Linked DNA regions of Rattus norvegicus. The protein of the gene in region 1 interacts with the protein of each later gene in a pairwise test. Links are inferred from orthologs where the notes say so. Each region holds a gene or a part of one and is shown in the gene's direction. Other genes may lie near its edges.

The links.
Region 2: the proteins of Ccdc136 (region 1) and Cep57l1 interact in binary tests that used the Homo sapiens proteins (3 or more experiments, as listed by UniProt). The two-hybrid records come from large-scale screens. The link is inferred for Rattus norvegicus from reciprocal best matches to the Homo sapiens genes CCDC136 and CEP57L1.
Region 3: the proteins of Ccdc136 (region 1) and Asb7 interact in binary tests that used the Homo sapiens proteins (3 or more experiments, as listed by UniProt). The two-hybrid records come from large-scale screens. The link is inferred for Rattus norvegicus from reciprocal best matches to the Homo sapiens genes CCDC136 and ASB7.
Region 4: the proteins of Ccdc136 (region 1) and Tcea2 interact in binary tests that used the Homo sapiens proteins (3 or more experiments, as listed by UniProt). The two-hybrid records come from large-scale screens. The link is inferred for Rattus norvegicus from reciprocal best matches to the Homo sapiens genes CCDC136 and TCEA2.
Region 5: the proteins of Ccdc136 (region 1) and Fam161a interact in binary tests that used the Homo sapiens proteins (3 or more experiments, as listed by UniProt). The two-hybrid records come from large-scale screens. The link is inferred for Rattus norvegicus from reciprocal best matches to the Homo sapiens genes CCDC136 and FAM161A.
Region 6: the proteins of Ccdc136 (region 1) and Hmg20a interact in binary tests that used the Homo sapiens proteins (3 or more experiments, as listed by UniProt). The two-hybrid records come from large-scale screens. The link is inferred for Rattus norvegicus from reciprocal best matches to the Homo sapiens genes CCDC136 and HMG20A.
Region 7: the proteins of Ccdc136 (region 1) and Txlna interact in binary tests that used the Homo sapiens proteins (3 or more experiments, as listed by UniProt). The two-hybrid records come from large-scale screens. The link is inferred for Rattus norvegicus from reciprocal best matches to the Homo sapiens genes CCDC136 and TXLNA.

Annotation. Positions count from the first base shown.
Region 1 is NC_086022.1:58,990,329-58,993,462, forward strand, and holds the end of Ccdc136 (coiled-coil domain-containing protein 136), read left to right. Parts: exon of another isoform or gene 1-1,255; intron 1,256-2,303; coding exon 2,304-2,411; 3' UTR 2,412-2,634; downstream 2,635-3,134. UniProt on the Homo sapiens protein: May play a role in acrosome formation in spermatogenesis and in fertilization.
Region 2 is NC_086038.1:46,874,048-46,878,026, reverse strand, and holds the start of Cep57l1 (centrosomal protein CEP57L1), read left to right. Parts: upstream 1-1,179; 5' UTR 1,180-1,238; coding exon 1,239-1,283; exon of another isoform or gene 1,284-1,409; coding exon of another isoform or gene 1,410-1,529; intron 1,530-3,979. Other genes in the region: Sesn1 (sestrin-1), read right to left, coding at 1-97. UniProt on the Homo sapiens protein: Centrosomal protein which may be required for microtubule attachment to centrosomes.
Region 3 is NC_086019.1:129,667,506-129,671,005, reverse strand, and holds part of Asb7 (ankyrin repeat and SOCS box protein 7), read left to right. Parts: intron 1-704; 5' UTR 705-822; intron 823-1,766; exon of another isoform or gene 1,767-1,890; intron 1,891-3,226; 5' UTR 3,227-3,277; coding exon 3,278-3,488; intron 3,489-3,500. UniProt on the Homo sapiens protein: Probable substrate-recognition component of a SCF-like ECS (Elongin-Cullin-SOCS-box protein) E3 ubiquitin-protein ligase complex which mediates the ubiquitination and subsequent proteasomal degradation of target proteins.
Region 4 is NC_086021.1:189,172,651-189,176,625, forward strand, and holds the start of Tcea2 (transcription elongation factor A protein 2), read left to right. Parts: upstream 1-1,175; 5' UTR 1,176-1,254; coding exon 1,255-1,323; exon of another isoform or gene 1,324-1,443; coding exon of another isoform or gene 1,444-1,554; intron 1,555-3,975. UniProt on the Homo sapiens protein: Necessary for efficient RNA polymerase II transcription elongation past template-encoded arresting sites.
Region 5 is NC_086032.1:101,209,421-101,213,493, forward strand, and holds the start of Fam161a (protein FAM161A), read left to right. Parts: upstream 1-1,273; 5' UTR 1,274-1,509; coding exon 1,510-1,530; intron 1,531-3,916; exon of another isoform or gene 3,917-4,073. UniProt on the Homo sapiens protein: Involved in ciliogenesis.
Region 6 is NC_086026.1:65,767,688-65,771,187, forward strand, and holds part of Hmg20a (high mobility group protein 20A), read left to right. Parts: intron 1-103; coding exon 104-251; intron 252-2,819; coding exon 2,820-3,032; intron 3,033-3,500. UniProt on the Homo sapiens protein: Plays a role in neuronal differentiation as chromatin-associated protein. Acts as inhibitor of HMG20B. Overcomes the repressive effects of the neuronal silencer REST and induces the activation of neuronal-specific genes.
Region 7 is NC_086023.1:147,266,474-147,270,605, reverse strand, and holds the start of Txlna (alpha-taxilin), read left to right. Parts: upstream 1-1,332; 5' UTR 1,333-1,445; intron 1,446-1,895; 5' UTR 1,896-1,901; coding exon 1,902-2,067; intron 2,068-2,764; coding exon 2,765-3,103; intron 3,104-4,132. UniProt on the Homo sapiens protein: May be involved in intracellular vesicle traffic and potentially in calcium-dependent exocytosis in neuroendocrine cells.

The DNA of each region.
Region 1 (3,134 bases):
GCACCTTTCATTGGTTGGCCCTGGGGAATGGGGAAGACAATATACAGCAGATTATACTATTACCCTGTTGTGTTTCTGGGACCTCCAACCTCAGTAGCTCTCTTGGTGACTAATATTAATTTATTAGTGTCTCGTTTCTAAGACTTTTGTGTATTGTGAACACTAAGTATCCTCTCCTCATTCTGTACTAACACTGATTGCTTGGAGTTCAGTGACAAAGTTTTCCATTTTTCTCTCTTAGCAGTAATTCACTGCCATAGCGGATGAGTTTTTGTGGAGTCTTGTTTGATTAATTGTTGACCCTGACCCTATGTTTTATGTTTTCACAATGCTCTTTTTTCCTGCTAACGTCATTCACATCTTCAGGTGAACACCTTTGAGTTCAGCCAATCTCACAGAAGGACCCAGCCTCTAGGGCTGTCTTGTCAATCTCACAGAAGGACCCAGCCTCTAGGGCTGTCTTGTCAATCTCACAGAAGGACCCAGCCTCTAGGGGCTGTCTTGTCAATCTCACAGAAGGACCCAGCTTCTAGGGCTGTCTTGTCAATCTCACAGAAGGACCCAGCCTCTAGGGCTGTCTTGTCAATCTCACAGAAGGACCCAGCCTCTAGGGCTGTCTTGTCAAGTTCTCTTTACTCAGTGGTTTGGCTCTTAAGGAATGATCAGAACAGACAACATTGATATCCTCCTACTCTTTCTGCTTGTTGTCTGCAAGGACTTCAAGGAAATCTTGTCAGATACCTTGCATAGTCTGTCAGGTTCGTGACACATCCAGATGCTTGTGATTTCCTGGAGCCCAGAAGCTCTTTGGGACACCCAAATAGCCCGGCATTGTCTATGTGCCCATGGACGTGGGCTGCCTGTGGAGCCTTTAACTGTGGCTACACCTACACCAACAGCAAATGGCTGTCCCTTCCCTGCATCCTTCAGCCATCGGTGGCTGCTCAGCCACTAGCAGCTGACATCTGGGCTTTTCTTTTTTAGGTTTTGGGACAGGAGCCAATGTAGCCCAGACAGGCTCCAAACTGGCCATGCAGCAAAGTTCTGGGATTACATGTGTGCTACCAGAGCTAGAGTAAATGCCTTTTCTAGATATCCGTTTGTCATGAGAGGGCCTGGCGTGTAGACCAGGCAGCAGCACTCATGTGTGCTCCTGCTTCCTAATTTCTATTGTGGATTGTTTTACGTCCACTTCTAACATTAATTTTTTCATTTTATATATTTTTTGTTCTTAGCAACTTTTCCTATAAAATTGGGAGATTATATGCTCTTTGTAATTAGCTTAAATTTTTCTTTGAGAACAGTTATTCTTTAATCGAATACGTTAGCTTTAATGAACTCCACTCCATTTTTTTCCTCAAGACATCTTCCCCTTACGCTGTAACTTTTGATTCAAAATCCAGATTCTTTAAGCAACACAGTAAAGCGAATAGTAAAGATAGGAACTATTTCTCTCATTTTTGTGTTCAAGAATTCTTGTTTCCTGAATGTTTTCTTATGGCGTGTTTTCCTACCCATGAGGCATCAGGGTTTCCCAGCAGCCAGAGCATTTAGAAGCCTGATGGCACTCAGTGCATGCGGCAGGCTGTCAGGCCATGGCCCCGTGACTGAAGGTGGAGAGCTGGGGTGAGGAGTGCATTCATTGGCTCATGACACTGCTGTTCAGGACCAACAGCAGGTTCCCCTGGATTTCCTCAAAGTGACATCACCTGGCACACAATCTCTGGCCACCAGTGATCTCTACTTCATTCTGCAATGCATTTTGTTGCCTCCTCTCATGCCCACACTCCTTAACTTAGCTCTCACTTCTCCATAAAGTCAGTGAGCTACACCTACCCTCTCTAAAGGCCCAGGTTACCCCACCTCTTCTCACACACCTACATGAAGAGTCCCTGAAGGTGGGCCTGGAATCTTGCTTATGCAAATAGGAACCAATATTCTCATCCCATGGAGACAAATCAAGCACAAATACAGGGATAACCTAAGTAATCATACAGTATCCTGCCACAAAACTAGTGTGCTGGAATGAAACCACAGAGTCTCCATGATCTCCCTGGAGGTGAGAGAGGCTAAGCCATAAGAATGTTCCTGAGGGGGTTGGGGATTTAGCTCAGTGGTAGAGCGCTTGCCTAGCAAGCGCAAGGCCCTGGGTTCGGTCCCCAGCTCCGAAAAAAAGAAAAGAAAAAAAAAAAAAAAAAAAAGAATGTTCCTGAGGCATGCCCTCTAGTAGGCCGTGTTTTCTGGCTTAAGGACGGGTTCAGGAAGAAGGCGTGGAACTCACTGTTGTTTTTTGGTCCCCACAGAACATGTTTGGGATGTGGAAGCCTATGGTATTCTTGGCTATTGCAGCAGTAGCTCTGTATGTGTTACCCAATATGCGACCGCAGGAACCAGAATTCTACATGAATTGATGGCAGACCTGGACCAGCCCAGAGGGCAGATCCCCAGAGGCTACCACCCTCACCTTTGGGCAGAGTACACTGTGCCAGAACCCCCCACCCCATCAGTGTTTCTCCATCTCCTTTGCCTCAGTATTCAAGACTGAAAAGGCTTATGGGAGTTGCTGGCTCTCAATCTCCTGCCTTGTGTAAGAACCTGGGTTCCTTGTAATTAAATGTCAGCCTGATTACATGAGACGTTGTGTGACTTTTTCTTCAATAAATGTTTCACATAACATTGAACAGAGCAATTACCCTTCAACCAAGTATATCCCATAAGAGTCTGTTTTAAATATGATTTTTCAGAAATGAGGTTGGTTCCCTCTGCTGTCGGTTCTCTGTGAGTCTGCTGCCAGCTGAATCACAGAGATTGATCTGACCCTATTCAATCCTATCTCAAGAAACTCTTTTTTTTTTTTTTTTTTTTTGGTTCTTTTTTCCGGAGCTGGGGACCGAACCCAGGGCCTTGCGCTTCCTAGGCAAGCGCTCTACCACTGAGCTAAATCCCCAACCCCTCAAGAAACTCTTATAAACACAAAGAAATACAGCAAACTGGGTACTCTGTGTATGGGGCTAGAGGCAATGGGCAAACAAAAGACCTTCCTGGCTTACCCTCTCAACTTAGGAGATTCATTTTTGGAGACATTTTAATTAGTCAAGAGCCTGGCAGCAAACAAGACAGTCAATACTTGGACT
Region 2 (3,979 bases), on another chromosome or scaffold:
GAACAATCTGCCTAACGCTTTCCAGTGCTGTCTCTCTAGTAGTTGGGTCTCTACTGCACAGACCCTCCCACCTCACTTCATTCTCTCCTTCGGCCATGACTGACAATCGTGAGCTTTTTCTTTTTCAGTCTTTTTGAGAGAGAGATTGGTTAAGAATAAAGTCAGAAAAATCCAGCGGTCACGAAAGCAGGCGTCTGGATGGCACTGGGAATCACACGTGCTTTTTTAAAGTTGATGCTTTCAAATCGATCCACAAGGCGGTTCACCCAGGCACCCTCTCCCACACGAAAGGGCAGTCTTCTGACAGAGATGGAAAAGAACCAACTTGGAAAGTTGCAATCTCACAGAGCTGGTTAGCTGGACAGGGAGTCTCGGGGAAGTGCTCTCGGTGTCGCAGGGTCAGCGGATATCCTCGCGTTGTGGAGCTGTCAAATCCGTGCTTGGTCCCAAAAGGCTGGTAACAGTAGAAGGTTCTCCAGCCATTCGATTTTTTTATTTTTTGTCTGTGCAGCGGCCAGTTTTCTAGTGTTCCCACCCCGCCCTCCTCCGACACCAGTCTCCGCCCCTGTCGGCTCCTCCTAGCGCCTCGGCAGGGCAGCGGGCGGGCTGCTGGCGGGGGTAGGCGGTAGACCCTGGCCCTTAGCTGCTGGGGCCTGAGGCTCCGGTGCTCCGGGGACTCCAGTGCCCACCAGTCACTGTGTCAGCGGCGACAGAGGGCAGCGTCGCCGACCCTGCCGGTTCCTGTCTTCCGGGGTACGCCGTGCTTCTCTTACCCCTCTGTCCTCGCCCACCTCCGCCAAGCCAGAGGGCACCCAGCGACCCAGCAGTCATCGAGCCCCGGGCTGCGCTGCTGAAGCACAGGGCCCCAGGCACAGAGCCCGCCCCTTCGCCCAGCCCCGTCGGTGGGGCTCGGCCCAGAAGGCGGGAGCAGGGAGGGGAGACGGGGTCCTCACACCCAGCCCCTCCCCTGTCCCCGCCCGGGACCGCCGGGAGCCGCCCCTGCCCCATGCCTGCCTCTCCGCCCAGGCACACGCGACCCGCAAAGGCAGCCATTGGAAGCAGCCCCGCCCTCGGGCAGAGTACCTCCGGACCCCGAGTCCAACGCGCGCCGCCGGCTAAGGCCGGCTGCTGCGCATGCGCGACGCCGGCCAAGGCGCATGCGCTCTCCGCGGCGTTGTCCGTTCTCGACGTTTGGAGGCGCTGGCTTGAAGAAGGGTAAAGGAAATTAAGGAGTACGGATGCCCCGAGATGTTTATCGCACAAGAAAAAACGAACAAATAAAGGTGCTTTGTAGTATTCCTAGTATAAGTGGGATATAATTAAAGATTAGCCTAAAAATTAGTGACAGCCAAGCCCCAGATTCAGTAGGCAGGGCGTCTTTGCGTTGGCTTTCGGGAAATGTAGTTGTAATGCTACCGACGCGCTCTGTTTGCGACAGAAAATACAACTCCCAGATGCCACCGCGACACTCGTCTTTGCCCGCGAACCAACGGTTCTGGAGGCCGTGGTTAACTGGGAGCGTCTGTCTGGTAAGCGTGGTAGACTTGGCTGTGAGCCGCTCATTGGAAATGGTTTTCCCCTGAAATTTTGGTGCTGAAGCCATCTGGGATTGCTTTCTTTCATTCCAGAGCCTTTCCCCAATGGCTTGCCGGGAGAGAAATAGTGCAGGCGCTAAACTTGGTGGGTGACTGGAGCAAGGATTTGGGGATAATTGTTTGGAAGGTCGAGGAGCAGCCTTAAGACAGGCAAGCTGGGGAAAACAAACGACGCCGCTGCTTCCGCAATCCTCTTGCACGGGATCTGTAAGATTCGAGAACACCCCTCTGAGCCCTACGTTCCGGATGTCACACTCGTTTGAATCTTACGGAGCCAGTTCTGGATGGATTAGGAATCCCTACTAAGCATTGCAATTGCACCTTTGTTCTTACAGGGGTGTGTTTTGCGCTGTGTTTTTGCTAAGTCAAATAGAATCCGAAGGGATCTTTGAAAGCAAGTCCGTTTTGTGTGAGACCGAGAAGAACTCCCAAATGTCCCTAGGTTCGAAGTTTTACAAGCTTTGAAAGGTTCTGTATGAAAAGAAGCCCATAAAAACCTCCCAAATGTGTTGTCTTTGAGTGATGTGGACATTTCTCAGAAGGTGTTGTGAAGTGTTTATACTTGAGAAAACTCAGATTTGGAAGGTTTGTCTAGTAAGACTGGTAATCGGATTAGATTTTAATCCTTTGTTTTACAGAGTAAACGTAGTCATAAAATATTGATCAGGGACTGGAGAGATGGGGTGGTTGTTTAAGAAGGCTTGTTCCTGGGGCTGGGGATTTAGCTCAGTGGTAGAGCGCTTGCCTAGGAAGCGCAAGGCCCTGGGTTCGGTCCCCAGCTCCGAAAAAAAAGAACCAAAAAAAAAAAAAAAAAAAAAAAGGCTTTGCTAACCTAGGACTAATCCTAGAAACTTCTAGCTTCTGTAGAAGCCTAGAATGTTTTCAGCTTCTGAGACTTACTGCTGAATAAGCTCACCCTTCCTGGCTCTCTCTGAACTCTGGCTGGCTGGTTCAGCGCCCAGCTGTTCTGACTCAAACTGGCATCTCTTGCTTCTGACTGAATTACTCTGCTTGGCTTCAAACTCACTCACTCTAGCGAACTGTTCTAACCTTCTGCTCCTGCTCATTCAGTCTTTCCCTGTGTCTAACTTGTTCTCTCTTCAACCTGCCTCTGTAAAACTCCCAGTAAAGCTCCCTTCCTTCCTCTCCCTCTGCTCTGCTCCCTCTTATGTTGCCTCTCTCCTTTCTCTTTTCCTGAGAGCTGGGCATATCCTATTCTATCAAATCTTTTTCTGATTCGTCACTTTGTCTGCCTCTCAGTTTGAAAGTAGACATCACATGGCTGCTTCCTTCTACAAACTAACTTTACCTTCATTGTTTGGGATAAAAGGTGTGTGCTAAGGGCATGTCAGTGTTCTAATCTGAGTAGCCATGTTGCTGGATTAAAATCCCACCACAGGCGAGTGGAAAAGACATAACCCCTCATCGTATTAGAAAATTAATGTATAAAATAAGTTGTGATACTATTTGATATTGTTGGCTGTGGGAACATTTAGCCCAATCTTAGAAAGTCAGGGAAGTTTTCATCCCAAGGAAAATGAAGGCCAAATGAATAGCACAAGGCTTCAGCCAACAAGTGCCTGCTGACTGCCTTCTGCTCAGTAGGGCGTCACTGAGCTTGTAGTCTAGGAGAGCAAATAAGAGTGCATGGCAAAGGAAACAATGAAGCAAATTGGAAAGGAATGAAAAGTGCTTGACTGGCGAGAAAAGGTTCCCCTTTCAGTCTGAGGAGGATCCTTGATGGCTTGTATGTGCTGGCTGCCCACATCAGCCACCTCAGCCACCTCGGGACAGCTGTTAGAAGATGAGCTAGCAGGGTGGAGTTGCCTTTATCCAAAGGCCTGCAATACTGAGAAGATGGTTTAGCCTCCAATCTGGTGTGTGTGCGCGGGTGGGGTACAGAGGACTCTGCTATTGTGGAGGATGATGCAGACAGTGAGCAGAGAGTCCGTGCTGGGAGGGGGAGTGGTGTGGAGTTTTCTCTGCCTTGTTCTGGGTGGGCTTAATTCTCCAGAGCGTCACAGGGGACCAAGGGCCCATGGTTTTTGTTTGGGGACATGGGCTGTTTTGTTTGTAGGCCCCTCCAGTTACCTTTCTCTGAGTTAATTTATGTGCTTTGCATTCTCTGACGCTACATCAAATCATCTCATGAATCATCAAAACCAAGGGCTTTTGGGAGTTCTGAAGGTCATCCAATTTAATCATCCCGGTGGGACTAAAGATTCCAGAGGGACACGAGGTCTGGGCAGAGGAGACAGGGGAAGACTGGACAGAGAGGGACCTACTTGAAAATACGGCTTTTTTTTTTTTTTTTGGTTCTTTTTTTCGGAGCTGGGGACCGAACCCAGGGCCTTGTGCTTCCTAGGCAAGCGCTCTACCACTGA
Region 3 (3,500 bases), on another chromosome or scaffold:
TCTAAAGGCTCGGCCCCCCACCTCCAGAAAGGGTGTCGGATCTCCCAGTAGGTTAATTGCTAGAGTGATTTCCTTGTGATATTGTGGGGTTTTTATTGTTTTGTTCTTTAAGAATTCAGTAGAGAAGGTAGTAAAACCTCTGGCTAGTTAATGTTTTAACTAGCTTGTTGTGTGTAAGTAAATGTTTTTACTGGGTGCCTGGAAGGCATAGGAAGAGCCACCATTCAAAGGCATAAGCCCCATTTACTCACCTACTTTACACTTGGCCCCTGGCAGCTGCTGTGTTGAATGCACACATTTTTTTCCCCTTTTAGTTCTCTTTAAAAAGAGCAGGTGACTGATGGTATCCTTAAAAAGTAAAGGAAGCAGGCCTGAGAGATATTCTCAGCAGAAAAGACAAGATTCTTAGCTTGTAGCCAAATTCCAAATGTGGGATTTGTTATTTTCTTTATTTACTGTTTTTTAAGAAGCTTGGGGTGGGGGCAGCACAGACTCTTAAATAAATCATACTTGATTGTGTCTAGAGATTGTTGTAAGCAACAAGATCATGTGCTCCAAAACCTTCTCTGAGTTCTTCTGTCAGTTTGTTGTAAACTCCTGAAACATAAAGTCATCAGAAAGTATAATCAGAGAGTAGACTGCAGACAGCGGTGCTTTCTCTCTTACTTTAGGAAAGCCCATGATTGTGATTGGTTTGTTTGTAGGTGAAGAAGACTACTCCCCTGAGGCCGGGGTACACTGGGAACCCTTCCTACCATGCTGCATGCACGCCATGGTTATTAGACAACCTGTCCACCGAGAGAAGAGACATTCTTCTATAAGGTAAGATGACCCAGGATCATCAGCCTCCTAGGCTATTTTGAGGAAAATCCTGTTTAACTTTTATTTTTCTTCTTGAAATCTGTTAATGAGTTGGTTGGGGCTATAGCTTAGTAATAGAGTGCATTTAGCAGGCTTCAGGCTCTGAGTTCAGTCCCTAGTCTAATAGAATAGACTTGCACAGAAAAGAATGGGCAAAATAGTGATTTAAAGAATAAACTAATGTAGCAGGCACTGAAAGAAAAACCTAGGTTTCTTTTGATGTTGTTTCAGTCTTTTTCCTATAGAGGAGACCTCTCTAGGTGCCAAGATAATTTTCTATTAAACACACCTGTGGGGCCTGGGAAAGGCTTAGTGGGTAAAGTGCTTTAGCACAGGCATGAAGATTGAGTTTAGATCCCCATCTACTCAGGGAAAAGTCAGGAATGAAAACTTCCATGGGATTCCATGGGATATACACTTGTCACCCCAGCACCAGAGTGCAGTGACAAGGAGGATCATAACGGCTTATCTAGCCTGTCTAGCAGAAATGGTAAAGCCGAGGTTCAGTGAGGGACTCTCTCTAAAAGAGTAAGGGAGAGCTATAGAGGAGGGCGCCTTAGTGTATCTCCACACTTACACTATCCACAGAACTCACTCTGAGCCAACATGGCGACATGTACCTGTGACTCAACACTTGGTAGCTAGAGATGGGAGGATCAAGAGCTCAAGGCCAACCTAGGCTACATAGGAAGTTGGGAGGCCAGGCAGAGCTAAATAAGACTGACTCAAAAAGAATAGTAAAATAAATCAGAGCTTCAGAAGCGTTCTGCTAAAGATGATGGTCTGAGTGGACAGGAAGGGGTTCCATTAATGTGTGCTGGTAAGTTTTGTTATAGTCTCTTATAGCACTGAAACTAACATGAAACCCATTCTGAAAGGTATTTTTTTTATGTTAAATTTCTAAGCCAAGAGACTGAATTTCAAGGAAGTAATTAAGTGAAGAATCAAAAGGAAACTTGCTTATTAAGAGAACAAATTATCAAGAAATTTCTCATTTTCCAATTTTCTCTGAGGAAACAGCTATTTGAGGTAATAGCTTGATATTTTTAAATTATATCACTGGGCGATATCGCTGAGACTATAGTGATGTCATTATTATATGTAAAAGCACATCAGATGTTTGTGTTCCCAGCCTGTTTTGGCTCCACCAAGCTAGGCTTACTTTTCTTGTGTTCTCTAGTTCATGATGAGAAATTTTGTAAGAAAAAGTATTAGTTGCAAAATTATCCTTGGATGTCTAACCTACATATGAGAACAGAATATCTTCAAAGGACTTTATCACTTTTTTTTTCTTTCAAGCAAATTTACTTATAGAAATGGAGGTTACCAACCAGGAGATTCGTCTAATTGCTTCTGACAAAGCAGCCCATTTGGAATGTCTTCCTAAGATCTTGTCAGTCTGGCTTTCTCTGTCTATCTCAAATGCTTCAAAGTATGCAGACAGGCTTGTACCCCCACATGAGAAGTAGCCATGTTACTTTGGGCTTCCCTGTGTGCATGGACAAGCTTCTTGTCTGCTGGGTTTGAGGACACACTTCTCCATGACCTGCAGAAGATGTGGGGTCCTTAGCATTAGTGTTCATTGACGTAATTTCATCATGTGGTCAATCCACAGGTTGCTTAGCATGCTATTTTGAGTATTTATGAAATAAAACTTCTGGTACTGAAATTAGAAAAAAATGTTTTAAAAGAATATGACAGGGAAGAGAAGACAAACATCGTGATCAGGTAGCCGAGGTAGGAAAACTGAGAAACACACGCACATGTGTGAATATAATCTATTTTATCCAGTTCCTTCGCTCAGCTGCTACCCCCCAGGCTTTATTACCTTGTATTAAAAATAAGATGCTGATGTGGATTGGGTCAGAGACTTGGCCTAGAGACAGCCCCTCCTTTTCAGTTCCTCCTCCAGGCTTTAATGGGCTGTTTTTTGCTATTCCATATTTATTGACTCAGACTGTGATAAAATCCTTGAGTAGTTTGTAACTTCCGTCGGGGTGGTGCATCGTGTAAGTCAGACTTCCTAAGACTGGTCCTACTGCAGCCATCTTAGCGTCCTGAGACCACCGTCCACTTTACCAGGAGAGAGCTGTCGTGACCAATGGAGTTTCAAGTTTTCAAAAAGACTGCAGAAAAGATTTTTCTGTTAAGTGGGTGTTTTCTGCCCCGCTTTCTCTTTCAATTAATTTATAGCCTTAATGCAGCTATGGGAAATTTAGGTCTAAGCAGATGCCTGCTAGCCAGTCTTGTTGAGCTGCTCTCCATGTCTATACTGATTTAGGGAGCGAATAGTTGTGTGGTGGTCAGTGAGCACAGTGTGAAGAGAGACAGATTCTAAATTGCATGTGCTCTCCCTTCCCGAAAGGCTGCCTCCCGTGACCTAATGTCTGGTTGGTGAAAAGCAGACTCTGCTAGGATGTTACACCACCACTGCCGGAGGAACCCTGAGCTCCAGGAAGAATTGCAGATTCAGGCTGCAGTGGCGGCCGGGGATGTTCACACAGTACGAAAGATGTTGGAACAAGGCTATTCCCCAAATGGCCGAGATGCCAATGGCTGGACCTTGCTCCATTTCTCTGCAGCAAGAGGAAAGGAGAGGTGTGTTCGAGTGTTTCTGGAACACGGAGGTGAGTTCACTG
Region 4 (3,975 bases), on another chromosome or scaffold:
GCATTAGTTCAGTACTCAAACACAGGGTTCCCTCTCTCAGAATTTGTTTAGTTGGGTTTAGCTTAGAGCAAGGGCCCAGCGCCCAGGAGAGGGCAGAATAGGAGTTGGTATGAAACTAGAGAGCTGTGTACACATATGGAAAAGCTTTGTTACCTACAGGAAATTCCATGCCTTTTCCTTATGGTAAAGATGTCATAACTGATTGAAATGGTCAGCCCAAGCCATTTGTATATGCCATTTGCACTCTGCCCTCCTGGCTACTGTGGGTACAAAAACTCAGACACTGACTTTTGGTACCAGCACACCTGCCACCATCTATAGCACAGAAGAGGAGCAGAGTCTCTTTCTCCCTTTCCTGGGCATGGTTATGGTCTTCCTGAGGTACTGCCTCGGTACCTGATTGCCTCAGTACCCTCCCCTGTTCTCAGTGTATAATGTGAATTGGATGACCCTGACTGAAGCCTGTCATTGTCACTTCACAGGTTGGGAGACTGAGACATAGAGCAACGTGCAGAACTTGGGGTTTGTATTGTTAGGCTGACTTCAGAACCTGAATAGGTTTTTGTTGTTGTTTCGTTTTTCTTTAGAGACAGGGTTCCCCTGTGCAGCTCTGGCTGTCTTGGAACTAGCTCTGTAGACCAGGCTGGCCTTGAACTCACAGGGATCCGCCTGACTTTCTGCCTAGAGTGCTGGGATTTAAAAGGCATGAGGCTCTATTGCCTGGCTAAAGCCTGAATTCTTGCGGAGAAACCGTTTCAGAGTTCCGGGCCATCTGCGCAGAGGCAAGAACGCCCCAAACTCGGCTTGGTACCAAGTGAGGTGAGTGAGTCGTCCCACTCCCCACGCGCGTCTCTGAAGTGGAGTAGATCAGTGGAGGCGACCGGAGTGGATCAGTGAAGGCGGATGGGCCGCCAGGGCGAGCGGCTCCGATGGGTTGAGGTAAAGACCGGAGCGCAGCAGGGTAGTTCTCCCCGCTCCTCTAGTTCCACCCTCTCCCTGGCATTCGGTTGGCACGTGGGGCCGAGTTCCCGCGGAGGAAGCTACGGAACTACCTTTTCCAGGGGCCCGCAGGCCGCGGGCCGCGCAGTCGTCTGGGAGTTGTGGTCCCGGGGGCGGAGACTCTTTTTTTTTTTTTTTTTTTAATTGTATTGCACGCGGCCGCCAGGCGGAGGTTTGGACCGCGGATCTAGGCGGCGGCGGCCGAGGTCCGGCCGGGCGGCGCAACCGGCGCAATCCGCCGCCACCGAGGTAGTGATGGGCAAGGAGGAGGAGATTGCTCGTATCGCCCGGAGGCTGGACAAAATGGTGACCAGGAAGAACGCGGTGAGGGGCGCGGGCCGCCAGGACCCTGGGGCCCCGCTCCGTGGACACCGTCTGAATGAAACCTAGCCCAGGCAGTCGAGACCCCTTGCCCAGGCCCGCCCTCCACCCTGCCGCTTCGCTATGGACGCCACGCTGACCGAGAGCCGCCCTCTGTTCGTCGCCCGGCGGTGGCCGCGGGCGTTCTTGGCCCAGCCGTTGTCTCCCCTGTCTGCCCCCACCCTTCAGAACCAGGTTTCTCTAATAAATTTTTCCCCTGCTTAGTCAGGCCTCAGGCAACAGCAAGTCGGTTTGGGCAGACAGTAGAGATTCCGAGTCGAGCCTGTGGCGTTGAGACCTGAGGAGATGATGGCCCCTCGCCTGGTCCCTAGCCAGTGTGGGTTCGGCAGTCCAACCTCCGACCCGCGTAGTTTTGGGAGCATCCTTAGGGGATGATGGCACCTGCATCTTGCCTTCCGTGGGTGGGAAGGGACGAGGAGGTGGCCTTAAAACCGAGTATGACTCCAGAGCATCCGCGGCACCGCTCCTAGGGCAGCCCAGATAGTGGCTGAGTCATGAGTCTTTTCCTCAGGACTGCTTGAAGTAGAGGGCTGCGGGATAGCTTTGGGGGATGAGCAGGTTTGCTCTGAGGGTTGCAGGGTGGGGGTCTAAAGCAGGAAGCAGGTTAAGTTCCCATATATGCCTTTACACTGGAAACAGAAGCCGCCTGGTACTGCTGGTGCTTCTTTCCGGTAAGGGCGTTAAAACACAAATGACAAACTTGGAACCGAGGGTGGCAGAGATGGGGTTGGGATCCATAGGGAGACACAATAAGGATGGAAGGCCACAGATAGGACTAAACAGTTGAGAAGGGAACCTGCAGAGGTCCCAGTAACCTGAGAGGTTCCTTGGAACAGCTGGTGGTTTGTTTGGGCTTTTCTTGTGGGAATGCAGGGCTGTTGTGGATCAGTGCCCCTGGCTCTAAGGATCAGGTCTTCTTAGGAAAGTCAGCCACTTGAGGGCTGATTGCTGTACAGCCCGCCTTAGGGCCAAGATACAAGGCTGCAGGCTGAGCAGGTAATTCTCACAGATTGAAGGGTTAGCCCAGCCCCTACCACTGCCTCTAGTAAGGATGGTTTGAATGGCTGGGTGGGCTCTCCTTGCTTTTTTTTTTTTTTGTGGCTTGTAAGACAAATGAGCTCATAGTGGCAACTTGGAGGACAGCAAACACAATAGTGTTGGGTGTTAGAAGAGTCTGTCTCAGTTGTAGGAGTAAAAACTTGAAGTGGTAGAAGAGCAGCTTTAAACAGAGTTGGAGGGTTTAAGGTAGGACAAGAAGAGCCTGCCTACCCTTGAGGTTTGAAGAATGGAGCTTGGGCAGAGGAAGAAAATCAGGGTTGTCTGTTACAAACCTAGGAGGAAGGTGGTGGTTAGTTTGAGAAAGAGATAAGAAGTGGGACTATGGGATTTGTAGGTGTTAGCTTTTAAAAGAAAACTAGCATCCTTTCCTTTGTATATTTTAATTTAATTAATTTTACATTTGTTAGCGTGGTGTGTGTGTAAATATGAGGACGACCCCTGGAAGCTGGTTATCTCCTTCCACTATTTGGGAGCTGGAGATTGAACTTAGGTTGTACAACTTGTTGGCAAGCGCCTTTATCTGCTGAGCCATCTCACCTGCCCTCTTTTTTGATACTGGGTATTGAACCCAGGGCCTTAACTTGCCAAGTAAGTGCTTTACCACAGCTGTGTCTAGATGGCCCTCTCTTTACTTTGTTTTAAGACAAGGTCTCATTAGGATTCCCATGCTAATCTTGAGTTCACTCTGAGACTCAGATAAGCTTTGAACTTTTGATCCTCTTGCCCCAGCCTCCTAAGTATCTAAGATGATAAGGCCTGTGTCACCAGGTTTGGTAGTTTTCAATTAGCAATAATTGTGCCTCTGATAAACCTCATTGGCTATGGTGCTGTAACTTTGCAAATCTGGCTAGAGCAGAGATTCCTGAGAGTTTAGGTAGAGAGTTTTAGGTAGGGACAGGAAGAACCTGCCCACTCTGGAGGTGCAGCCTATCTGCAGATGCTGAAGAAAAGCCAGGGCAGAGGTTTGTCTGTTACAGTGCCCGGGAATAGTGCCACACTGATGGCTAGGCACTTTGAGGAGAGCCTGCTCTGCCACCATGGCATAGGTGGACTAAGGTTAAGGAACCTGAGTGTCCTTCCATGTCGAGCAGGAACTGGGGCTTTTCTTTTTCTCTAGTAGCTTGTTCAGTGTCCTCCTGTGGTTACCATGATGTCTGGAGATCAGCATAGATGCAGGGTGAGAAACCACCTGATGTTTGAGGACAGCATGGTCGGGCTGTTTGTCTCTATCCTTGCCCTATGGCAAGATCAGTAAAAAGCCCCTGCTGTGATGTTGGAACAAGTATGCAATGCTCTGGGAATCTCAGTTGTCCCACATGTGATCAGAACGAGGTGGGGTTGTCCACTAAGCCTCCCAACTAGTGTTCTCTGTGTAGTCCTGACCATCCTGGAACTCACTCTGTAGGCTAGGCTGGCCTTGAACTCAGAGATTCACCAGCCTCTGCGTCCTGAATGCTGGGATTAAAGACATGTACCACCATTACCCAGCATCCACTAAGGTTTAAAGTCCTTTATGGATGTCCATTTTCCTTCTAG
Region 5 (4,073 bases), on another chromosome or scaffold:
TCGATGTCTGCAAATTTAGAATACTGTCGGTCGAAACTTTCCTATTCTCTGTACTGAAGGACACTGATGTCCTTCATACCCATTATTTACTATTTCATGATCCTAAAACCATCAGCTTACAGGGCTTCAGTCTGTAGACAGGTCTTGTTTTTGAGTTGGCTTACACCAAATCCCGTCACAGAACTAGCTGTCATTCCGACGGCTATGGATCCCTCCCCACCTCTAGCTTTTCAGAACCAACCAGTACCCATCAGTTCCTGCAAGAGGCAAGCTCAGCCAAACCAGAGGAGGCAGGGAAGGTGAGGTGATGGAGACCTCGCAGGGGCGAGCAAGGAAGGGCTGGTAGCAACTGCGTCAGAAACAGGTTCAGTGGAAGGCGAGCCGCATAATGTGGAAACTACTGGAACCTTATGGTGGGGACAGGGGCGCTACTTCTAAGTAGTGTTACGTTGCAGGTGGCTGAGACTTCACTGAAAGACCATCCGAAGCGGCCAAAAACCTAAGATCGATCAGGAGGCTGGTGGGGTTGAGCTGGGAGGGTGTGGTCCCTGTGGGTTCTCCCCCTCCAAGCCTGCGGCTAAGCTAGCTGCAGAACCCCAAGACAAGCTACCCCATCACTCACTGGTCCGAGTGACAGGCATTTCCTATGTCTAGCGTCTTACTGGTCAGTCGAGAAACAGGAGGGCGGGACAAATAAGTATTCTCCCTCTGATTGGTCAACTCGTGAAATTCTTGTCAATTAGAGATGAACTGCGTTCTCCGCCATGTTGAATAGCACGCTGCATAGCCTGTCCTTTTCTTGGGCTGGTCACCCAACGCCCGTTCTTTCCTGTTCCTCTGTGCTCTAATATGTTGATCCAGTTAATAAAAACGCGCTTTCTGCGTATACCGCGAGAAGTCCTCGTTCAGATAGAACGAAATAAAGCTAGAAACCAGAGAAAAGCTCAGTCCCTAGCTGCGGATCTGGGTGTCATTCAAGAGAATCAGTAATAGTCCCGGTGCTGATGAGATTCCATTGAGCAAACTCTCTTGAAGACTGCGTTTTACTTTAGCTTACTGTGGTAGTCATTAGTGTAGATTCGGATAGTTATGCTTCTAGAATGCCCCGTTAAACCGCAGGATTGTATCAGAAACCATCATTAGACGTTAGCTGGACTCGGGGCTCGCATTTGTGACAGTGAGAAAGGACGTTGCCTGCGTTACGGTCCTTCGCCACCTCCTGTAGCGTCCCTAGTAACCGTGCCCCTAGTAACCGCTCTCCCCAGCCAGGATCTGCGAGCGAGGCGGCGGCGCCAGCTCACCCGCCCCGGGCCGGCGCGGGCGCTCGGGCTCGGAGGCGGGGCGGTGGCTTCGCCGCACTAGGCTATCAGACTGGCTGCTGCCAACCTCCACCTGCCCGCAAATCCCATCACAGGAGCAAGGGCCTCCCAGTACGAACGCGAAGACCCCTTATAGTTCTTGGTAGCAGCGGCGTTGGCGGCGGCCGTGGAAGAGAAACAGAAGAAAAGGATGTGGCAGATACGGGCGTCGGTAATGTGGGAGCCCGGCGGGGTCTGGGGGCTGTCCGGGTCCTCACCAGCAGGGACGGGTGGAAATGCGGTGTCCTCTGCAGACCCTTCCTGCTCTCTGCTCCAACTAAAGACTAATGCAAAACTTTCTTGGAGAGCATTTTTATAGCTATTTCTAGAGTGTGCACAGAACAGAATTCTACTTATTTATTCTCCAGCATATCTTGAGAATAAATATTCTTCAGTTTTTTAAATTTTTTTCTATTTTTAATTTTTGTTTTTTCCCTTGAGGAAAACTGATGTGCCTATCTATAGTTTTCATAAAACCTCAGATGATAAGTTGGACTGACAAGTGTATTTTATCGGTTTTGGTTAGTAGTGGATTTTAGCAGTCCTTTAGGAAAGCCTGTTTGAAGTTCAGTGGACAGATGCTCCATAGATATAGAGAAACATCCAGATAAATCCCCGAAATCCCAAAGTTTACTAAAGGGGCCATACGGGTGCAGTGAGGTCTTCTCGCAAAACATTTTCAGTATTATGTCCTGGATGCATTTCTAGCAGGAGGGCACAGTCTTCCTCTATCCTCTCTACTTCTTTTCCATATACATATGGATTATGGTTTATTTATTTTATACATATGAGTACACTGTCGCAGTCTTCAGACACACCAGAGGAGGGCATCAGATCCCATTACAGATAGTTGTGAGCCACCATGTGGTTGCTGGGAATTGAACTCAGGAACTTGGAAGGGCAACCAGGGCTCTATCCGTTCTATTCATTTCATTTGTTTGTTTTTAGATTTATGTGTATGAATGTGCGCAGTGTGAGTTCCTGGGAGTTCCTGACGGTTGTGATGGGGGCTGGGAATCAAGCCTAGGTGCTCTGCAAGAGCAGCAAGTGCTCTTAAGCCATTGCAGCATCCTTTTTAGTTTGTCTCTTGAGACATAGCCATGGCTGTCCTGGAACTCAAACTCACAGAGCTCTGCCTGCCTCTGCCTCCTGAGTGCTTGGTTTAAAGGTGCATAGTAAAATGCCCAACTTTTATTCACTTAAAAAGTCTAGCACTCTGCTGGTGTAAAGCACCAGGAAGGAGCATGTCTGTGTGTGTGTGTGTGTGTGTGTGCACGTGCACATGTGTGTATGTGTCCCCACCCCAACCCCTGCCACTTGGTTTCTTAGCAGTGCTGGGGGTGGGATGAAGGGTTTGTGCTTTAGGCAAGTGCTGTACTAACAGCTACAAACTTGGTTTTTGTTTTATTTTAGACAGGGTCTCCTTTGGTTCAGGATTGCCTCAAATTTGCTGTTAAAATCCTGACCCTCCTGCCTCCATCTTCCCAATACTGGGATTCAGGCACCGTGGCTGGCCTGTATCAGCTCTTTCAAGGTTATGTAAAGTAGACAGAGGCCCAAACCACCAGAATCCTAGGACTGGTTTATACCTGATAAGGCTGCCATTCAACACAATCTATCAAAGGTTACAGAAGGCAGAATGCTGGAATGGAGGGAAGGAGTTGGATTCTGGATCAGAAGCCATTGTCTGCTACTCGCTGGGTGATTATAGGACATGACTTCTGTTTCTCTGTCTGTAAAAGGACTATAATCGCCCCCATCTTCTGTTAATAAGAACCAGAGGAGAGAATGGGTGTCATTTCTAGAGAGTTTACATAAATTCGTAATTATAACTGCCAGCTTGAACAATTCACTTGGAAACTGACATATACTCTGGCAGAAAGGTCTGTCCTTTGTATAGTTGTGCTTAGGTTCCAAAGTGCCCTGCTCACTGAAGATTTGTGTTATAAGTGGAGTTTGGGTTTCCAACACCCACATACACACCTGGTGTGTTGGCTTTTGTGTATAATCCCAGTGCTTCGGGAGGAGGAAACAGGCAGATTCCTGGAATTTGCCGAAAGCCCCATCTCAAAAGATAAGATGGACTAGGGAACTCACCCGAGATCGGATGTTCCTGCAACTGATGCTCACCCCTGCACAGGCTGGGAAACTCCTTCTGCTCTCCTTTCCCCAGCCCCGCCCACCTGGGAGAAAACTCAGGCTAACACATCATCACTCCTCTCCGAATTCCAGACAACCTGCCCAAGAGTGCCTCCCCGGGGGCTCAGATTCTGACCACACGTGCACACCAACCATCCCAGCTCCTAGCTAGCAGATCTTCACTCCTCACAAAGCTCTGTAAAACCCCCTTGCTTTAGCCTGGATGTGACGTCACCGACCTCCACCTGTGAGATCGATGAACCCACCCAAGAGCTGCCCCCTAATAAACCTGCCTTTATCCACTTCTAATCCGGTCTAATCCAGCCTGTATCTGTGTCACCGAGGGGAGAAAAAGTCTGTCATTGACCTCTGGTGCACACACACACACACACAGGCACATACACACAGGCACACAGAGACAGAGAGAACCTCAACATTTAATAGAGACATCAAAAGAGATTAAGGATTAGCCACCATAGTAGGAGGCCTGGAACAAGGCCCAGAGGGTCCCACATTCACTGAGAGAAGCAGTGAGGTGAGAAGTCAAGTGCTTCACATCAGTTCCCTAAAAATGAA
Region 6 (3,500 bases), on another chromosome or scaffold:
GTACTGGCTTGTGTTTTATCTAGCAGGAAAACTTACGGCAGCATAATAAGAGAAGGTTTCCTGCTGTCCATGCTGACCTTACGTACTTCTGCCTACTACTCAGGTTAACACACCCCGAGGGTCCATATGGCAGTGCAGCCACATCAACAACCAACAACCCAGAATTTGTGGAGGATCTCTCCCAAGGCCAGCTGCTTCAGAGTGAGTCTTCCAATGCTGCAGAAGGCAGTGAGCAGAGGCCTGAAGATGAGGTAAGCTAGCATCTCCTGTCACTGTCCACTGGAGCTTCCAAAGCAACTGGCATCCAAGGACTTATTCAGTGACGTGACTGCCACCTCGTGCCTTAGTTTCCTGGGCTGAGACTTGCCCAGCTTTCTCATACATATCTCTTGTCATATCTAGAGTCTTATCAATGGTTTTAATGACGTAGAGACAAATAGAATCTGTCTATCCTCAATCTGACTAAACATAGCTATTTCCTGTAATGTTCAGCATGCTCGGAAGCTGTTTGTTGTGTTGTTGTTGGTTTGTTTTTATTGTTGTTATTGCTGTTTTGATATAGGGTCTCAGGTGACTCAGGTGACATCTGCTAGAATTGCAGATGTGCTTGCCGGTCTCAGTCTTGACAAATACTTGTTTTGTGAGTGAATGGTTTAATTAAGTAACTATTAAGAAGTCTTCATGCCCTTGTTCAGGGCTATACGCTGTTCACAAGCCCTACAAGACAAAGACATATGTGCCAGATCACTTAATGAGTCCTCCTCCCTCCCGTAGGGCCCATCCTTCCCCAAAGCACACAGACATTCAGTATGGGGATGGGCAGTCATGGCCTTCACTTACAGATGACTTTATTACAGATGACTGGCCACATTCCACTCTTCTGTTTTAAGACAGACAAGAACAGCATCATCCATGTTTGTCTTCTCTCGTATATGAAAAAACTGGTTTGTTCATATACCCCGCTGGTGTTTCTAAAGATAATAATGAATGCTGGTAGCTTTTCCTCAACTTGTTACGTGTTTGCTATGGTGTGGGGTGGTGTTTGTGTGGGTGTATAATGCTCGGGATTTATGCTAAGCACATTTTCACTGGGCCACGTACTAGGCTCCTTAGTAGCTTCATGTTCCTAGGCTTCCAAAAAGTAAAACAAAACAAAACAAAAAAGCTGGAAACCTAATCTCTAATATACAATTTACCAAATGCAGAACTGTCACCATTCACATAGATTTGGAGGAGTACAGTACAGTACTACACTTAATACATAGATGCGCTTGTCCCCTTCGGATCTTGTTCACCTTTCTCCTCCCTGAAATAAGAATTCCTGTATTCATGGTGCATAGACTGATAGACTTTGCATGTGTTAAATTATGGAACAGAGTATGATGTGTCTCATTTAGAAGGCAAGAAGAAAGACTGGTGTCACATATCAGCGACACCACAGGGGGTTTTGTTTTGGTTCAGTGAAGTTTGGTTTGGTTTGGTTTGGTTTGGTTTGGTTTGGTTTGGTTTGGTTTGGTTTGGTTTGGTTTGGTTTGGTTTGGTTTGGTTTGGGTTTTCCAGACAGGGTTACTCTCTGTAGCTCAGCTGCCCTAGAACTCACCCTGCTGACAAGTCTGACCTCAAACTCAGTTCCGACTGCCTCTGCGGAGGACTAAAGGCATGTGCCACCATGCCCAGCTGACACTGCAGTTTTTAAAAGCATATTAAAAGTTGATTTGATCTGCTTTATCGAAACCCAGTATGTAAAAACTTCTATCTCAAAATGAAAGAACAAAAAAAAGGCTATGACTTTATAAAATTTGTATCTTAATGAACAATCATCAAGCTAAAGAACTTGTCTTTATTTTATATATATTGCTGATAATTTCCTGAGACTAAATATTAATTTAAATATCTGTCTGCTGTTTGCTATGGGATTAACTGATCTTCAGTATCAGTGAGGAAGGCTTTCATTAATTATTTTTAATCCCCATGCTGCCGCTTTTCCTTCACTCGCTCGCTGCACATGGCAGCGTCTTATCCTGACTTCCTGTGACAGTGCCTCCTTCTCTGGTTTGGGGAGGAGTGCAGCTGAATGTGTCATGTAGAACATCCCTGTCAGGAAGTGTAGAGGAAGGCCAAAGCGTGCACAGTCATGGTGCCCCCTTCTCGTCTTTTGGGATTAGTACCAAAATAACCCTTTAGACAACAAGGGTGGCAGTGCATGCCTGAAACCGCAGCACTCAAGCAGCTGAGGCAGTAGGATCACCGTGATTTTGAGTGTACCCTGGGATACATAATGAGTTTGAACCCAGCTTGTGCTACCTAGAGAGACCCTGTTTCCAAAAATAAAATTTTAATAGCCTTTTATTTCTCAAATTTGTAGTATGATGTCTTAAAGCACTGGTTTTCAACCTTCCCAATGCTGTCTGACCCCTTAATACAATTCCTCATGCTGTAATGACTCCCAACCATAAACTTATTTTCATTGCTACTCCATAACTATAGTTGTGCTATTGTCATGAATCATATTGTAAATATCTGATATGCAGGTATCTGATATGCAACCCCTGTGAAAGGGTTATCTGACACCCCCTCAGGAGTCCTGACCCACAGATTGAGAACCACTGCCTTAAAGGGTCTGTAGTTGAAATATCTGAAATTTGTATTTAATGCGTCATCATGGTATTTGACTGGTCTGGAGAGCTTTGGCTATCCAGGCCCCACAGGAAAGTGCAGCTCGTGTCCTCTTTAGATGTTCCTATTTGTTCCTATTGCTGATCGATTACTTGAGTGATTACTGTTTGGGTTTTGGTTTTTCATTTTGTTTTGTTTTATAGCAAAGAAGTAAACGAGGAGGCTGGTCCAAAGGGAGAAAAAGGAAGAAACCTCTTCGGGACAGCAATGCACCCAAGTCCCCCCTTACAGGATATGTTCGATTCATGAATGAGCGTAGAGAACAGCTTCGAGCAAAACGACCAGAGGTCCCATTTCCAGAAATCACAAGGATGTTGGGCAACGAGTGGAGTAAACTGCCTCCTGAGGAAAAACAGGTGATAGTTCTGCTGCTGGGCTCTCCTCGTGTTTGATTGTATCTCAAAAGTTACTTGGGGGCTAGAGAAATTTGGAGACTGGCTCATGGTTAAGTGCACTCACTGCTCCTCCAGAGGATTCAAGTTCACTTCCTAGCACCCATGGTAGGTGGCTGCCTGTAACTTCAGCTGATCTGACACCCCCTTCTGCCTCTGTAGGCATCCCTATAGACATGACCCATTTACACACACACACACACACACACACACACACACGTGTATAATATAATATAAATATCTTTAAACGATTTCTATCAAAAAAAAAAAAAAAAGCAAAGAAGATGGAAGTTGATTCGTAGTTGTGTCACGGTGCTTAGAAGACCAGAATATCAGAGGGGCTGACACAGAAAAAGCATAAGTTCAAGGCCCATCTAGGCTACAGAGTGAATTCAAGGCTAATCCAAGCAACTTAAGAGTCTTCAACTAAAG
Region 7 (4,132 bases), on another chromosome or scaffold:
AGTTCCAAGTCAGGCAGCACTAGAAAGCAAGACCTTATCAAACATAGCAAACTCCAAACAAGTAAATAATTGAAATCACAATTGTGTTTGTTTTTGAATGATCTAAGCATCGAAAATCCTAATGAACAAAGACAAAATCTAACTTTCTAAAGCATTAGCCCATGTAGGAGCACGTGGTACTTTGCAGAAAGTGGGGCAGGGCTGAGTGGGAGTTTACCAATCCGCCTAAAGCCAAACCTCCTTGCTACAATCCCCTCCTGAGGATCCAAGCTGGTGATGTCAGAAGGCGGGGCATACTTGGTCTCAAAGCCTGTGATGGCGGAGAATGGTTAAGATGGGTTTTAGTTGGATCTGAGGTAGAAGCCAGCATAGTCAAAGACTAACAGCCAGGGCTACACGGAGAAACCCTGACTGGGCTGGGTGGAATGGAATGGGGCACTGGGGAGAAGATTAAGAAAAGGATGGGTGGTGTCAGGCTTCCAGGTTTGAATCCGCAATAAGCACACAGTATTGATGGATGGAGCCATAGATTATTTACCCTTTACCTGGGCATGGTGGCCCGTGCCATTAGTCCCAGTCTTGGAGAGACAAAGACAGGCAGAACTCTTGAATTCAAGGCCAATTTGATACACCTAGAGAATTCGGGGCCTGCCAAAGCCACACATGAGACATTGTCTCTAACAAACAATAGTACATACTTTTTTCTTTTAATTAGCCTTTTCCGTACTGCCCTATATTTCCCAGATCTCTGAGTATAATGTTCTTTCTCTGAGTAATTATGAGGACCAAGCTATTACATACGAGGGAAGAACACATTGTTTGGATTATTATAAACCTTCTACTGGAATGGAGAGGGGAGGGATACTAGGCACATAACAAATTAGTGGTTTGGGCGTGAGATAAATATCTCCTAATTCACAGTTTACCCTTCTTTCTCTCTTCCACTCGCAAGTCCTCAGAGATCCTAAAATAGTCATACATGTTCATAAGGGAGTGTATGAAAAAAAATCCAGACTGCCAAAGTTTAAGGGCCAATCATAGTTTCTGTACTAGGAAGGAGGCTGACACGAATCTCTAGACCGAATGACATAATTTCGGACCCTCAGGGTATTTGGCTCCTAAGCTTTTCGGTTGCATCTCGGGAGTTGTGACCTGCCGCAAGGCATGAAGGGACTCGTAGTTTTTCCCACTCCCGCCTCCAAAGCCGCCTTGGCCTCTTTTCCCAGCAAGCTCCGCGCCAGCGTTTGCTGTTGATTGGCTGCCGCAGGAGAGGGTGGTCCAGCTGGCAGCAGTTACCCAGGTTTCCGGTGCTCGGCCAGAGTCGGGGACGCGGTCGGACGTCCGCGGTGAAGTATGTCTTTGGGCTGTACACGGGACGAGCTCTTCAGAGGGTCCATGACCCAGGACGCGTTAGCCGCGGAGGAACAACTAATTCTGTGGACGGGGTGGGGAGAGTTGTGTGCTGCCGTGCTGCGCATGCGTACTTCGGGTCTAGAGGGCGCGTGGGGTGTGGGTGTCTTCTGTGTACGCGCGCGCGCGCGCGGGAATCCCACGTGGGACCTGGTGGGGCGGGGGGCCGGTCGGGACTGGAGCATCCCGCCACGTCAGTCTGCGGCTCTGAGCCAATCCCGCGCTCCCGCTGCCGAGAGGGAGCCGTGTGGTGCTGAGAAGTGGCATTCAGGAGAAGGGAGGCCTCTTCCTTCCTTCACTCTGTGCTGGTGCAGCTTCTCGGAAACCTTGCCCGGGACCGTGAAGTCTCAGGCGAAGGCCGACCAGTTTGTTTGAAGCTTAGAGCTTCAGATTTGGAGATTTCTCATCTAGGTTGTGAAGAATTTTGAAGTCTAGAAAATAGCAGCGGTGTCCGTAAAGGATCTACCCCTTTTCTGGCCTTGCAGATCACAATGAAGAACCAAGACAAAAAGAATGGGCCTGCCAAACACTCCAACCCGAAGAACAGCCCTGGGCAACGGGAAGCAGGACCGGAGGGAGCTCATGGACGGCCCAGACAGACAGCTCCTGGTGCGGAAGCTGAAGGTTCCACAAGCCAGGCTCCTGGGAAGACCGAGGGTGTGTGCCAGCTCTGCTTTTCCAGTGGGCAGAGGGAGGAGTTTCTGGTACTTGCATCTATCTGAGGCCAGTATTTACCCAGGAAGGAGGAACTATAGAATGAAACAATGCCCATTCTGTGATCCTCATGTTTCCTAGGGAGGTGATGAAGCTTTCCACTCTTAGCCCTGGAACGGAACCTTGGGGGCATGCTCTGACTGGTTTAAACCAAATGACAATCAAATGAGGCGCCCCATAAGCAAAGTCATATTCCCACTTGCCAGTGCCCGGTGATTAATTGTCCTTCATAAGACAGAGCGTCTGCTACACGTCAGTCGTCCCTCTTGTAGGGGTGCTTTACACAGTTGTCTTTGATGGTCATAACAAGTATGTTTGGGTGTTAGAAATAATTGTTTCGTCTTATAAAAACGTTTTATACGACTTAGGGTTTAAAAAAATTAAATTGAGGCCAGGCATAGTGGCCCTCACCTTTGTTCTCAGAACCCAGAAGTCAGAGGCAGGTAGATCTGAGTTTGAGGTCATCCTCATCCTCATAGTGAGTTCCCAGACAGCCAAGGCCCTGTAGAGAGAGCCTGTCTCAACTGAATAAATAAATGGAACGTTTAACCCACACAAGTGGTGTTTGTCTGGGCTTAAAGAAGAAGAAAACCCAAGGGAGCGGTGTAACCACCTAACGTTCACTGTCTTCATCTTGTAGGCGCTCGAGCTAAAGCATCTCAGTCTGGGGCCCTCTGTGATGTCTCTGAGGAGCTGAGCCGACAGTTGGAAGACATTCTGAGTACATACTGTGTGGACAACAATCAGGGAGGCCCAGGTGAGGAGGGAGCTCAGGGGGAGCCCACTGAGCCTGAAGACACAGAGAAGTCCCGAACCTATGCAGCCAGGAATGGGGAGCCTGAACCGGGCATTCCAGTCGTCAATGGCGAGAAAGAGACCTCTAAGGGGGAGCCTGGCACAGAAGAGATCCGAGCAAGTGACGAGGTTGGAGACCGAGACCTTCGAAGGCCACAGGAAAAGAAGAAAGCCAAGGGTCTAGGTGAGGGGGAGCTCCTGCTGACGGGAGGGAGTGAACACTTGCCATCTCATGGGCTAGCCTGCTCTGTCTGGACACAAGAGAATCTGCTTTTCAAGACAGTACATCCCCCCAGTTTAGTCAAAGATGGGGTCATCCCATTGAGCTGTTCAGATCACTCACTTGTGCAAGGCCTCCTGGCCTTGGGAGCCAAGTGGAGGCAGGAATCCAACTAGCTTTCTCACTGGGAATATGGAAAACCGGAGGGAGGCCTAAGTGCTCGACAACACCACTTTCAACCTGCTGTTTGACTTTGGGCATGTTTATTCTCCACTCCTAGAGAGGGTCTTAGTTTCCCTGTTTGTACAGCAATAGAATTGGGCTACACCAAGGTTGAAATATCAACATGGACCAGGTAAGCCACAGACCTCTTCAGAATCAAGAAAGGGCCTTCTTGATCTGAAAACCTGACTCCTACCTGGTTAGTCCCCCAGTCGCATCTGACCAGCTGAATAATTGGTAACCAAAATAATAGAAAGTAAGCAGAGGCCTCCATTGGTTGGATTTGCCATCTCCGTGTTACCTTTTGGGCCTCCCAGGGCTGACAGCTCAGAACCTGGTCTGTGCTGAGTACAGTGGAACCCAAGGGAGACAGCTGTAAGGCTTCCCGGCTGAGGTAAAGCAAGGCAGTGGCAACCTGGCACCATGGCGTACACCTTTAACCTCAGTACCTGAGAAGCAGGAGCAAGTGCATCTCCTGAGTACCAGACCAGCCAGCTGCATAATGAAACCTTATCACAAACAAAGGACAGGAGTGATGGGACAATGTGAAAATACGAACTTAGAACCTAATGCAAACCAAATATGGTAGTGTATGCCTCTAATGGGGAACTAGGAGGAACAGAAGCAGGAAGATGCTGAGTTCAAAGCCAGCTTGGGCTACATAGCAATACCCTCTCTTTGTGTGTGTGTGTGTGTGTGTGTGTGTGTGCGCGTGTGTGCGCGTGCGCGTGTGTGCGTGTGTGCGCGTGTGTGCGCGTGCGTGCGCGTGCG